Danio rerio: one gene and its partners. The main gene of each other region encodes a partner of the protein of the gene in region 3 in a complex. Links are inferred from orthologs where the notes say so. Each region holds a gene or a part of one and is shown on either strand. Other genes may lie near its edges.

What was found. The genes of interacting proteins can lie anywhere in the genome.
Region 1: snrpd1 (region 3) and lsm5 share a complex: the UniProt entries of both Homo sapiens proteins name them as parts of the U4/U6-U5 tri-snRNP complex. The link is inferred for Danio rerio from reciprocal best matches to the Homo sapiens genes SNRPD1 and LSM5.
Region 2: snrpd1 (region 3) and gemin2 share a complex: the UniProt entries of both Homo sapiens proteins name them as parts of the SMN-Sm complex. The link is inferred for Danio rerio from reciprocal best matches to the Homo sapiens genes SNRPD1 and GEMIN2.

What each region holds. Positions count from the first base shown.
Region 1 is NC_133187.1:13,906,748-13,910,855, forward strand, and holds the start of lsm5 (U6 snRNA-associated Sm-like protein LSm5), read right to left. Parts: upstream 2,801-4,108; 5' UTR 2,719-2,800; coding exon 2,673-2,718; intron 1,911-2,672; coding exon 1,815-1,910; intron 574-1,814; coding exon 546-573; intron 1-545. UniProt on the Homo sapiens protein: Plays a role in pre-mRNA splicing as component of the U4/U6-U5 tri-snRNP complex that is involved in spliceosome assembly, and as component of the precatalytic spliceosome (spliceosome B complex).
Region 2 is NC_133192.1:14,292,587-14,296,645, forward strand, and holds the start of gemin2 (gem-associated protein 2), read left to right. Parts: upstream 1-1,259; 5' UTR 1,260-1,369; coding exon 1,370-1,488; exon of another isoform or gene 1,489-1,509; intron 1,510-2,534; coding exon 2,535-2,616; intron 2,617-2,696; coding exon 2,697-2,786; intron 2,787-3,962; coding exon 3,963-4,022; intron 4,023-4,059. UniProt on the Homo sapiens protein: The SMN complex catalyzes the assembly of small nuclear ribonucleoproteins (snRNPs), the building blocks of the spliceosome, and thereby plays an important role in the splicing of cellular pre-mRNAs.
Region 3 is NC_133194.1:2,232,883-2,237,057, reverse strand, and holds the start of snrpd1 (small nuclear ribonucleoprotein Sm D1), read right to left. Parts: upstream 2,801-4,175; 5' UTR 2,657-2,800; coding exon 2,643-2,656; intron 2,053-2,642; coding exon 1,976-2,052; intron 1-1,975. UniProt on the Homo sapiens protein: Plays a role in pre-mRNA splicing as a core component of the spliceosomal U1, U2, U4 and U5 small nuclear ribonucleoproteins (snRNPs), the building blocks of the spliceosome.

The DNA.
Region 1 (4,108 bases), on a different chromosome or scaffold from region 3:
CTTGAATACATGAGTGTACACTTCACATTCAAGTACACTTCACATTCAATTGATTTTTTTTTTTTTTTAATCAATGATAATACTTGGAATTATTCTTTAATAATAATGTCACAAAATATTAAACGGTTTCAATAGTGATAAAAATTTGCTAATACCATTGAACTTCTAACTAAGCATACTTTAAAAAAAGTTTCTAAAAAGATTAGAAAATGCCTTCTCTATGCAGTATAGTTTATAGAATAATTAGAATACAGTATAAATAGTCTAATGGTATAAAACTTGAGCTTTAGTTAATCTCTAGAACGAAAGTGCTTTTTTTATTGATAGTTTATCCTAATAAAACAAACACCTAAAATTTTGGAGACAGGATACTGATCGTTTGAAACTCGAACAGCATTTAGAACAATAGAAGGTTGAGTAAATGTTGACAATTAAAATTTTTGAGGGAACTATCCTTTAAGTCAAAGCAGAAGAGAATGCATGAATACACTGTGCAAAGACAATTAAGCAAATATTTAATATTTTTGTTTAGGAAATATACTTACAATTCTGTGACATCCTCTAGGACCATGTCTGATGTAAAGCATCAAGGAAATGTACAACATCGCAAAGATAACATTACATAGACATTTACATTTCTCTGTTGACAACATGTGATGTAGTGTATTGTATTTTTTTATTTAATGCCATGTCAGCAATGCAAGGCTATTTTCATGGCAAGAACATTTCAATAATAAATATACAATTAAAAAACAAAAACAAATGAATACATAAATTAAATACATCTTTAAATGCTAATACATTTTTTTATAATTTTTTTACTATTTTCCAGGTGTCATTTTGCTAAAAATGTCCTGAAGAGACATCATTTGATAAAAAAAAAAAAAAAGCCTTCTGGAATTGTTAAAAGCAGGACAATCCAGTAAAATCTGTTTTACTGTAAAAGAAAGTGTGATGTGCAAATATTGAGCAGGGTCTTCACATTTGAGCAAAAAAAAAAAGCATGGATCATTCTTGCATGTCCAATACAACATCTAGTAAAAATCACTAAATCAAATTTAGTCTTAAAATGACTAAAAATTCAGTTTGAGATTTCAGGTTGTATTTCATACAGTTTATTATTTCTCAATGCATCCTACTCCTCTTGCCACTTATTTAAAAAGTAAACGTTGATAAAAGATTTCATCTCTAAAAGAGGAATTTGGCATTCGTTCACAACTTATTTCAAAGCATCCTTAGCTGCTGGATCAAGCTCGCTCGTTTCCTGAAAGCCCAACATGTCCCGGAACCCAGCAAAAAAAAAAAAAAAAAAATATGAAAAAAAATGGTTTTGTAAATGGTGAACTTTAGTTATAATATCATTAATCAAAGGATGATCATTTTCTGAAGATTCCATCACTTGGAGGCATGATTTGGAGTCTGTAAATATGATAGAGTTCTTTTGTTGGACATTTTCTTATATTAAAATGCTAAAACTAAAGCACAGGCTAATGAACATTCTTTAGGCAGACTGATTCCACAACGTTGTTGTTCAGTAACCATTGCTGCCGTTATGCCATTTTCCACCCTGGAAGAGCAACCGCTGCGTAAAACATATGCTAAATAAGTTGGCGAGTCATTCCGCTGTGGCGACCCCAGATTAATAAACGGACTAAGGGAAATAAAGGGAAATCTTATGTGTAACTATATCTTTAGCTAGCAGTATTTATAAAAAAAAAAAAAAAAAAAAAGTTGAATCCAAAACTAAATTGTAAACATCACAAATATTTGACAGTGTTTTGTTTATTTTTTTACCGCCAGTAGGTAAAGGATACTGACAAAGTCGTCAAACCCAAGCAGAGTTCCCACAATCTCTTTATCGTTCTTCATAACGATGTGAATCCGAGAGCCAATGCACTTATCCACCAGCTCTGAAAGACAGCACACAATCCCCATCATAAACACAGTCACATCATTGGCTGTTAAAGGAAACATTTTGAGTGGTCAGTGTGATATACAACTGTAAAACCTTGTAAAGAAATTCAATTTATGTTAAACGTTACTTCAACAACTATACAGCCAAGGTAAGTTTTTAACGAACCACGTTTAATAAAATTTAAAATTTCTTTGGCTTTAACACTAGGTGTGGGATTGAGTAATATGTTAATACCAAATTCATTCTTTAAAGTACTAATTTTAGGCTTATTTGACTCAACAACAAAAAAATCCTGCGAGTAAAGAGTGGAGTGGCTTTTAATCATTTGACACGGTATCTCTAATGTCGTAACTCATACATAAAATTTTATTTTCAGAGTATCTTACTTATAAATACATCTTAATGGAAATTGTTAATGATAAATGTGTTCCCAAGTCATAATTACAATATTTTAAACTCCAACAGAGGGAAACATATTAGTGATTTATTTTTTTCGCCCACACTAACTAAATGAACTGGCTTCCGTTTATATATAATCAATCACACATTGATGTATAAATTTGTGAAATTAAATATTTAAGTTAAAATAAAAACACATTGACATGATTAGGGCCACATCTTTTGTGCACAGGTGTATTCAATTAGATAAAAAAGCAAAGTGAGTTACGAACGTGACTGATTGGCATCTCTGCCCCGTACAAAAACACAAAAGTTATGTCAGTAAATGATAAGCAATTTTAAAGAAAGTGAAACAAACCGAGTGGTAAAAGCTGCGAAGGATTCGTTGCTGTGATTGCCGCCATTTTGATAACAGACCTGAATAATCGGGACCGGAAGCCAATTACAAGCATGGATAATCGATATCAGCACACATCGATAGCATCTTCTTCTTCTTCTTCTTTCTGTTTTATGGCGACTAACAATTAAAAGCATTATCGCCACCTACTGTACCGAATCTTACTCCGATGAAAGGGCAACAAAAAGAAACGAGGAGGGAGGGAAAGGGGGGAAAAAAACACCTTGGATGTTTCATATTGTCCAATCTTTGCATCTAGACCACATACTCATGTCAGCACTGCGTGTTCAGCTCCTCTAACATAAAGGGCCTTTATGACAATGATTGAGAATACTCTCATCCATAAATATAAGACTATAATAACCTAAATCCGAATACTCTATATACCTAATAAACGCTCTATATACTTGCCAATCTATTATACCTTTTCCTAGAATAATTTTATATATTGTTTTATCTTCCCCACACTGACTGAATAACATATTGCGATGTTTATTATATTTGCTACATATAAATAGTGCATAATCCACATTTTCAGTTACACCACATACATCACATTTCCCATCCTCATGTAAACCCATTAACGCAAGTGTTGCATTTAACCCTGTGTGTCCCAATCTTAATCTTGATAACCACACCTCTTCCTTCCTATTTCTTCCTTGATTTAGTGTTGTCCCTACTGTCTGTATAATACTATAGTGCCATCTTCCAGTATTACTATTATCCCATCTAATTTGCCATTTATTTATTAGTTTTTCCTTTAAAATCGATTTTGCCTCTCTTTTCCCCAGAGGTACATTTACTTCCTCTTGCTTATTTAGTGCTTCCTTTGCTAATTTGTCAGCAACTTCATTACCAGATACCCCAATATGTGATGGAACCCAGCAGAAATAAACGACTACTCCTATTTCCTTTAATCTATATAAAGATAAATAGATTTCTGTTATTAAATCCTCTCTATCTGATTTTGAGTTTGCTATACTAACTAAGGCTGAAGATGAATCTGAACAGATTACTACTTTGTTTACATCGATAGCATGAGAGGGGCTTGGCTTTTTGTACAGCCTGTGGCTGTAACATTAGAGCAGTGTTACCCAAGTTTTTTCTTTTAAAGGGCATGTCAGTCAGTCAAAATGTTGCATCATATAGGCTACCAAACTGTATGTCACAGTAATTTGTCACGGTAATTTGGAGTTTTATAGCTTGATTATAGCTTGATTAATTTTTCCATCTCCCAGTATCTCCTCTCTGATGGAATGACGGACCAAATCGGAAACCAAAACACAGAACACAGTACACTTCCACAATAGGTTTCCATTTTTTGTAAAACTTGACAATACTGTAACTGTTCCACTTCCAGAGTAAAAAAAAATCATTATAGGCCTAAGGTTGTATTC
Region 2 (4,059 bases), on a different chromosome or scaffold from region 3:
TTAATTTTGCCTTGTGTATGTGAAACGTCCCAAGAAAAATAATCAACTTCAAAGCATTACCGAGTGTATCATGGCCAGTTTTCAGTTTAAAAAAGAATCATGCATTCATCCAAGTTAATTATATATAATTTTATTATAAACTGAGTAAAAAATTAACCCTGAAACCAGTTTCCAAAAGTCGTCAATAAATGTACAAGCACAAAATAGATGTAGGAGACTTTCAGGTTTAAAACATTCTGATGAAATGTCTTTTTAAAATGTATTAATGAACAGATGGCAGGGATACCTGTGTAATATTTTCTTTATCTTTTTTAAATACATTTACTGTATTACAGAAAGATACATTTGGTGCACATCATTTACAATAATAATCATTAGATTATTTACAATGGTGCCAATAAAGAATGAAAAAGAAGAAAAAAGAAAGAGGAACAACCAACAGAAATCAAACAAAAAACAAAGAAATATCAATAGGCCATCTGATCTGAGGGTAGATATATAGATTTAAAAAAAATTGAAAGTGAAGAGGGCAAAATAAGAAGCAGCAATTTAGAGATTTAATTGATTATAAAGGTCGTGCAAATGGTATGCTTTGAGTACTTTCTTGTTAAGTGAATCTGGAACTGTAAGTAATTTTTAATCTCTTGTAAATGCTAGAAATGTTAGCTTGCAACTTGACATTGACAATATACATTTATGAACATAAAATCTGCATAAAGAAAAAGGTTTATTTTAAAGTAGACATTAAACTTTGTTATAAAAAACACCAAAAATGACTTTTGTAGTCACAGAAAAATGCTGTAAAGTAATATTTGGACAATTGCATGACCAAAATAAGCGAGGAGTTTCAGCGTTAATCTGACAAAAGGAGATATTTGTATCAAAGTATGATCCAAATCTTTTCTTTAAGACATTTTTGATAGGATAAATGTTATGTAATAATTTAAAAGATATTTCCTTTACCTTTTTAGTAAGGAAAAACTTGATGTATGGACCATATATTTCCCCAGTTTAAATAATCAAAAAGACCGTTTCAATGTGAGATAGCAGAAGGGGTAGAGTTTTCAAAAAACACAGCTCTTATTTGATAATTTTTCCTTTTTATTTAACCTTATTGGGGAGTAAATAAAAAATATTCTACTTGTACAATATTTCTCCACCATTTTATGTTGTTACCCTTCACATTTCTCCTAAACAACAGATGTCGCTACACATCTTTCCATCTGTAAGCGAGTGAATAAAAGAACCGTCGCGTCTATTGATCGTCATCCTCGTGTCCAATGTTTTCAAAATGGAGAGGTTGACATGCACGTAATAGTGAGCATGTTGATTTATTTTGATGGTCGTGCATAAAAAATAAGGCAAAGAGATGAAGTCAGACGCCGAGGAGTTGATGCCCAGACTCCTGCCAGTGGATTCCTGCGACACAGAGGAATATACTCTTACCGAGCCGCCTAGAAACCCTCAGGAATATCTCAGATTTGTCCAGTAAGTCTTTCGGCTATTGAGGTAAAGTTGGTTTAATATTCGCACATTCAGACATTCTCATCAATAATACAGTTTTAGAAAAGTATTATTTGCAAATTGTAAAGAAGGAGATCATATTAGCTGCCAATGACTACTAAAGTACAACATTATTCAGTCAATTAAACAGTACTTATGTTGTTAAACCCTACTGGAAAAAAAAAACAGCTTAAACCAGCCTAGGCTGGTTGGCTGGTTTTAGCTGGTTGACCAGGCTTGTTTGAGAGGGGTTATGGCCATTTGCAGGCTGGTTTCCAGTCATTTCCAGCCTGGTCTTAGCTGGGCAGGCTGGGAGATGACCAGCTAAAAACACACACACACACACACACACACACACACACACACACACACACACACACACACACACACACACTCACAGAGAGAGCGCTGTGGGGGAAATCAGAGCACCTAGAGGAAACCCACACCAACACGGGGAGAACATTAAAGCTCCACGCAGAAATGCCTTATGGCCCAGCCAGGACTCGAACCAGTGACCTTCTTGCTGTAAGGTGACAGTGGTTACCACTAAGCCACCGTGCCGCCCGTCAAGATTGTGGCTCTATGCTGGTTTCATACCTAGAACCTCATAGTTTGTTACCCAATGCTTAGCACGTTGAACTAATTGATCAAATTGGTAAAACTAGTGATCCGAAGGACAGTGGCACTAACAAAATATGATTTGGGGCTACACTTTAATGCTTTTGGCTAATAAATTACTATTACACAGAATAACTATTGTAAATATTGTTTGTAAAAAATGTTATTTTACACATTCTAATGCAACAGGAAAAACAAAACTACTTTAAAGCTGTATTAGCTTTTTCTTGTTGATGAAACTATGCTTGACTTTGACTCTTGTTCGATGAACATTATAGTAGTCAGCATTTTACAAGTGGATTGAAAACGCTTTTCGAAATTGTTCTAAGACAAGAGTGGGTGTTGTTCAATGGTTTTCGGGCAACTTTAATAAAAAGACCCTGTTTAAATATCGACTACTGTATATTTTACAGGAGGGAAGCATCTCTGTGTCCAGATGTTGTTGTGGCACAAATTGATCCAAAGAAGCTGAAGAAACAGTCAGTGAATGTGTCTGTAAGTGGGAAAAGTGAACTGAATAATCTGTTATAAATTCTGTAATGTGTAAAATAACTGTGCCATTATTTTTGCCTCAGATCACAGGTTGTCTTGCTGCACCTGAGGGTTTTTCACCCAGCTTTAAATGGCAGCAGCAACAAGTCAGCAGATTTTCAGAAGTCAGACAGGTGTTCAATATTAACCACATTAGTTTCTTTAAAGGGATAGTTCACACACAAAAAATGAATATTTACTCATTATTTATGAATGTTACTATTATTCAAGTGGTTCCAAATTTTTTCAAGTTTATTTTTTCTGTTGAGCAAATCCATTCATTCATTTTCTGCCGCTTTTCCGGGCCGGGTCGCTGGAGCAGCAGTCTTAGGAGACAACCCCAGATTTCCCTCTCCCGAGACAGTTCCTCCAGCTCCTCCGGGGGGGATCCCGAGGCGTTCCAAGGCCAGCCAAGAGACATAGTCCCTCTAGCGTGTCATGGGTCTTCCATGAGGCATCCTCCTGGTGGGACATGCCTGGAACACCTCCCTAGGTAGGCGTCCAGGAGTCATCCCAAACAGATGCCTGAACCACCTCAGCTGAGTTCTCTCGATGTGGAGGAGCAGCGGCTCTACTCAGAGCTCCTCCCGGGTGACAGAGCTCCTAACCCTATCCATAAGAGTGCGCCCTGCCACCCTTCGAAGGAAACTCATTTCGGCCACTTGTAACCGTGATCTTGTCCTTTCTGTCATGACCCAAAGCTCATGACCATAGGTGAGAGTAGGAACGTAGATTGACCGGTAAATCGAAAGCTTTGCCTTTCGGCTCAGCTCCTGTTGAGCACAAAAGAAGATATTATAAAGAATGTTAGAAACCTGACTTCCATAGTAAAAAAAAACAAATATTATGGAAGTCAATGGTTACTGCTTTCCAACATTTTTCAGAATAGATTCTTTTGTGTTTAGCAGATGAAAAAAAAAACAGGTTTTACAGGTTTTCAGCTTTGTTCAAAATAAAGGATGAGTAAATGATGACAACTTTCATTTAATATTTCATTCTGTCATCATTTACTCACCCTTTATTTTGAAGAAAGCTGAAAACCTGTAACTATTGACTTAGTAGTAGTATTTAGAATTTGTTGTTACTACAGTATTTCTTTTTCCTAATATGGAAGTCAGTGGTTACAGGTTTTCAACACTCTTCAAAATGCCTCTCAACAGAGGAAAGAAATTCATAAAGGTTGATAACCACTTGAGGGGGAGTAAATACAGAGTAAATGTTCTTTTTGGTTGAACTATCCCTTTAAGTACTTTTAGACTTTTTAGAATTTGTTTTTGTAATTTGTTTCATCCATATATTTCTTGTTTCAGAGTGTGAACAAGCATCGTCAGCATTGGAAAGCTCAGTTTTTGGATGATAATGTTGTCATGGTAGGACTTTATTTATTATTGGGCTTAAATTAAATCT
Region 3 (4,175 bases):
ATCAGATTAGACCATTAGCATCTCACTTGATTCTTCTGTAGTTACATTGTGTATTACAACTAGCAAGAAATGAAAAGTTGCTATGATCTATATCAGGGGTTCCCAAACTTTTTAACTCGTGACCCCCAAAATAACAATTTTAGTAACTCACAACCCCACTATCCTCTGAGGTGGTTATAAGTAGGGCCAGATGGAATCTGCGGGCGTTTTTTGCTATTTCTGCGGAGAGTTTTGGTAAAGATCTGCGGAATTATTTTGGGAGTATCATAACTAAAACCTTAATATATGACATAAAAAAAAATATCTTTATATAATTTTTATTTAATGTTTAAAATGCTAATCCAATTAGATTCACATTATTTGGTAAACAAAGCAAGTCTCTCATATAATATCTCTACTAAAAGACAGAAAATATTACGGTACAAACTGCATTGTACATAAGTCAGACGAACATTTTCATATTAGTCAATAATATTACTGAAATAAATGTAAAAACTGAATTAATATAGATTTACACACATTTACTCAAGTAAATAAACAGAATTAATGATGGGCTAAACATCAGCGGAATTCAGCTCGCGCAAAATAAGTGTGGGCCTAGTAATAAGCATACAAACACTGTACACAATAATGCACACACACAAACCAATAGCAACTATATAAACAAGCTTATTGACAACACAACAAAAGTGCAGCAGTTTATCAACCATATCATTTTATAGTCACTATTCATTTGTTTAATTTAATATTAACCTCACTTAATGAGAATTGTGAAATATATACAGCACAAGTCTATTCTTGATTTAATTTCGGAGACCGCCACTTGGAGATCGTCCTCTATGTTCAGTCGTGGCCTTTATTTTTAATGTACAGGAGTGCTGTAAATGTGTCAAAGTTTAACATTGAGCCGTAAAATAAATCTGCTGCAACTAACACTATTGCTGTGTTATTAATCTAGCGTAATCACTCAAGGAGTCGTAATCCAATGGAAAAATAATGTAAACGCTGCTGTCTGTTTATGTACATGTTTTTGTTTTAAATGTAACTATTAAACACTATCTTCTGCAGGTTATGGATAAAATATGGTAATTTTAATAATTTATTTATATGTATATATTGGAAATCACCAAGCAACCCCCCCTCAAGGACTCACGACCTCCCAGGAGGTCCCGACTCCCACTTTGGGAATCACTGGTCTAAAAATTGAAAATCTCCACAAGTAAAGATGTAAATTTTCACACAATACCATGATCTATTGTTTTTCTGCTCACATGATTATTATAATACGAGTCTGACTCAGTGGCATTAATTCATCAACAAAGTATAACAAGTTTTCTAATTATTATTATTAGCACAATATAGGGCATATACAATGAGTCTTTTTAATTCAAGTTTATTTGTATAGCGCTTTTTACAATGACTAGTGTTTCAAAGCAGCTTTATAAAAGGTGCACAGTATTGCATAACAATCCAATTAAGTCAAGTCATTTTCAGCTAAAAGGTTAAATGCATTTTTTCCGGGAGCTGACAGATGTAATTGAGGTAAAGTTGTTTTTATATTCACACATTCAGACTTAATATAATTTCAGAAAAGTATTATTTGCAAATACTAAATAGGGGAATCATATTATCACCAAATGACTATAAAGCACAATATTGTTTACGGTCTAATATTGTTTTGAAGTCATTCTTATATGTGATTTCAGATCAAATATTCAAAGCAGCGTGGTAAAAAATAATGAATCTGTATTCACCTTTTTAAATACTGCTTTGCTATTTCATAGAACGCCAAAGTCTAAACCTGCTAATATAAAACCAACTTCACCTCAATATAAGCACATTTATTGGCCACCTATGAGATGTAATGCATCAGATTCAAAGAGAAAATGCATAATATGACCTCATTTAATGAAACAGGCACATAGCAGACAGTTTATAAATGTGATTATGGTGCATTACTTAAAATAATAATTACCTGTAATTGTGCCATGGACCTGTGTGCCATTCTTCAGCTCAATCGTGACGGTTTCATGGCTCAATTTCATCAAAAACCTGCAGGTCACAATCATAAAAACAATGATAAACAATTATAATAACATAACGTCTAATATCTACATATAAAGCATTTTGTCAATATGATTATATAAAGTATTTACAGCTTACTAATGATAATAAACTGATAACTATATTTAAAACAAATGATAAACTATATATCCAATAATCTTTAGACTTCCTAACTACACACTATAGTGTCTATTAACATAATTATATGATTATATACAGCTAGCATATTTAGAAACTAGTAAATAAATGTAGCTAACTTAGCATTAACAGTTATTGTTTCTGTTTATGTATTTGTTGCATTTAAGACCCCGCATGATCAAACTACCACCAAAAAACGCACAATGTATTAATAATCTAAGACTAAACCCGCTTATTACATAGTTTAAAACACGTATGTGCTTAAAACAAATGAGTAAAACGTTCAAACAAACGCTCGCCCATTCATTCATTCCCGCCTGATGAAGCTAACGGCTAACTAGCAGCTACACACAATCCGGCTCCATCTATTAAAATACATCGCGCATCCGCAAAGTTTCTTTGTGTATTTTACTTGTATGACAGCTGTAGATGTTTATTACCTGACGAGTTTCATGATGGCGGTGGACTTTGAGAGAAAATCCTCCACCTAGATGAGAAAAAATTGTAGCGCAAAACGAATGTAGGACGCTACTGGAGAGATGGTACAATCACTTCCTGGGTGAAAGGGAAACAGAATTCTGAGGACAGAAGGGTTGCCATTACTCAACAAAATCACCGGAATATTTTTACACGCTGGTAATTTCATTTATAAGCATGTTATAAACATACAAAAGCGAATTTAAAATTTTAAATGTTGCTACAACAATTTTTATTATGATAATAGCTTAAAAGTATTTTTCAATTTCGATATCTCATGGTACATAGGTTAATAAAAATACACTTTTAATTAACCAAAACAACAATAATTTAATCTCACAGTAAATAGTTTCCTTAAAGCATTCTTTTAAAAAACCAAAACAGCAATATTAATCATATTTAAGGCTTCAATTGCGTTTTAAGATAATAAAAGTATAATACAGATTTAAATTTTGACACTTTTTTTTCATAAATGTTTAAATCTTTTCCATATCACAGCGCAGCTACAAAATATGATTTATTTTAGACTATGAATAAAAATATACTATAATAAAATATTAACTTTATTCTGTTTTTTTCTTTGTAATTATATTTTCTTAATTCAAAAAAATAGCATTCAACATCCACCGGAATAGATTTAGTTTTAACGTATCTGGCAACCCCACAGTGACGATACAGTAAATAGGTTAATAAAAACACACTTTTATTAAACCAAAACAGCAATAATACCCATATTTAAGGCTTTACTTGTGTTTTAAGATAATAAAAGTATAATACAGCTTTAAATTTAGACAATTTTTCATGTAGTGTCATTTTCATATCAAAGTGAAGCTCCAAAATACTGTTTATTGTAGATAATGAATAAATAAGATACTATAATATAATGAAAGCTTTATTCTGTCTTTACTCTATTTATATTTTCCCAGTTTAAAAAAAAAGCTGCATTTAACAACCACAGGAATAGATTTATTTTTAACGTATCTGGCAACCCTACAGTGACAATATCTCACGGTAAAGGTAAATAGGTTAATATAAACATACTTTTAATTAACCAAAACAGCAATAATAATCAAATTTAAAGTTTTAGATGCGTTTTAAGATAATAAAAGTATAATACAACTTTAAATTTAAACAATTTTTACGTATTTTTTATACTACAGTGAATCTCTAAAATACTATTTATTTTAGATAATGAATAAATAATATACTATAATATAATATAAAGTTTCTTCTGTCTTTGTAATTATATTTTCTCTATTAAAAATAACATTCATGCACAGTTGTGGATTCAATTTTAAAATATCTGGCAACCCCGTGGCGATATCTCAAGTAAAGGTAAATAAATTAATAAAAACATACTTTAATTAACAGAAACAGCAATAATAGTCATATTTAAGCTTTAATTGGGTTTCGAGATAATATAAGTATAATACAGCTTTAAATTCAGACACTTTTTTCACGTAGCAAAAGATTTAATTTAACGAATCTGGCAACCC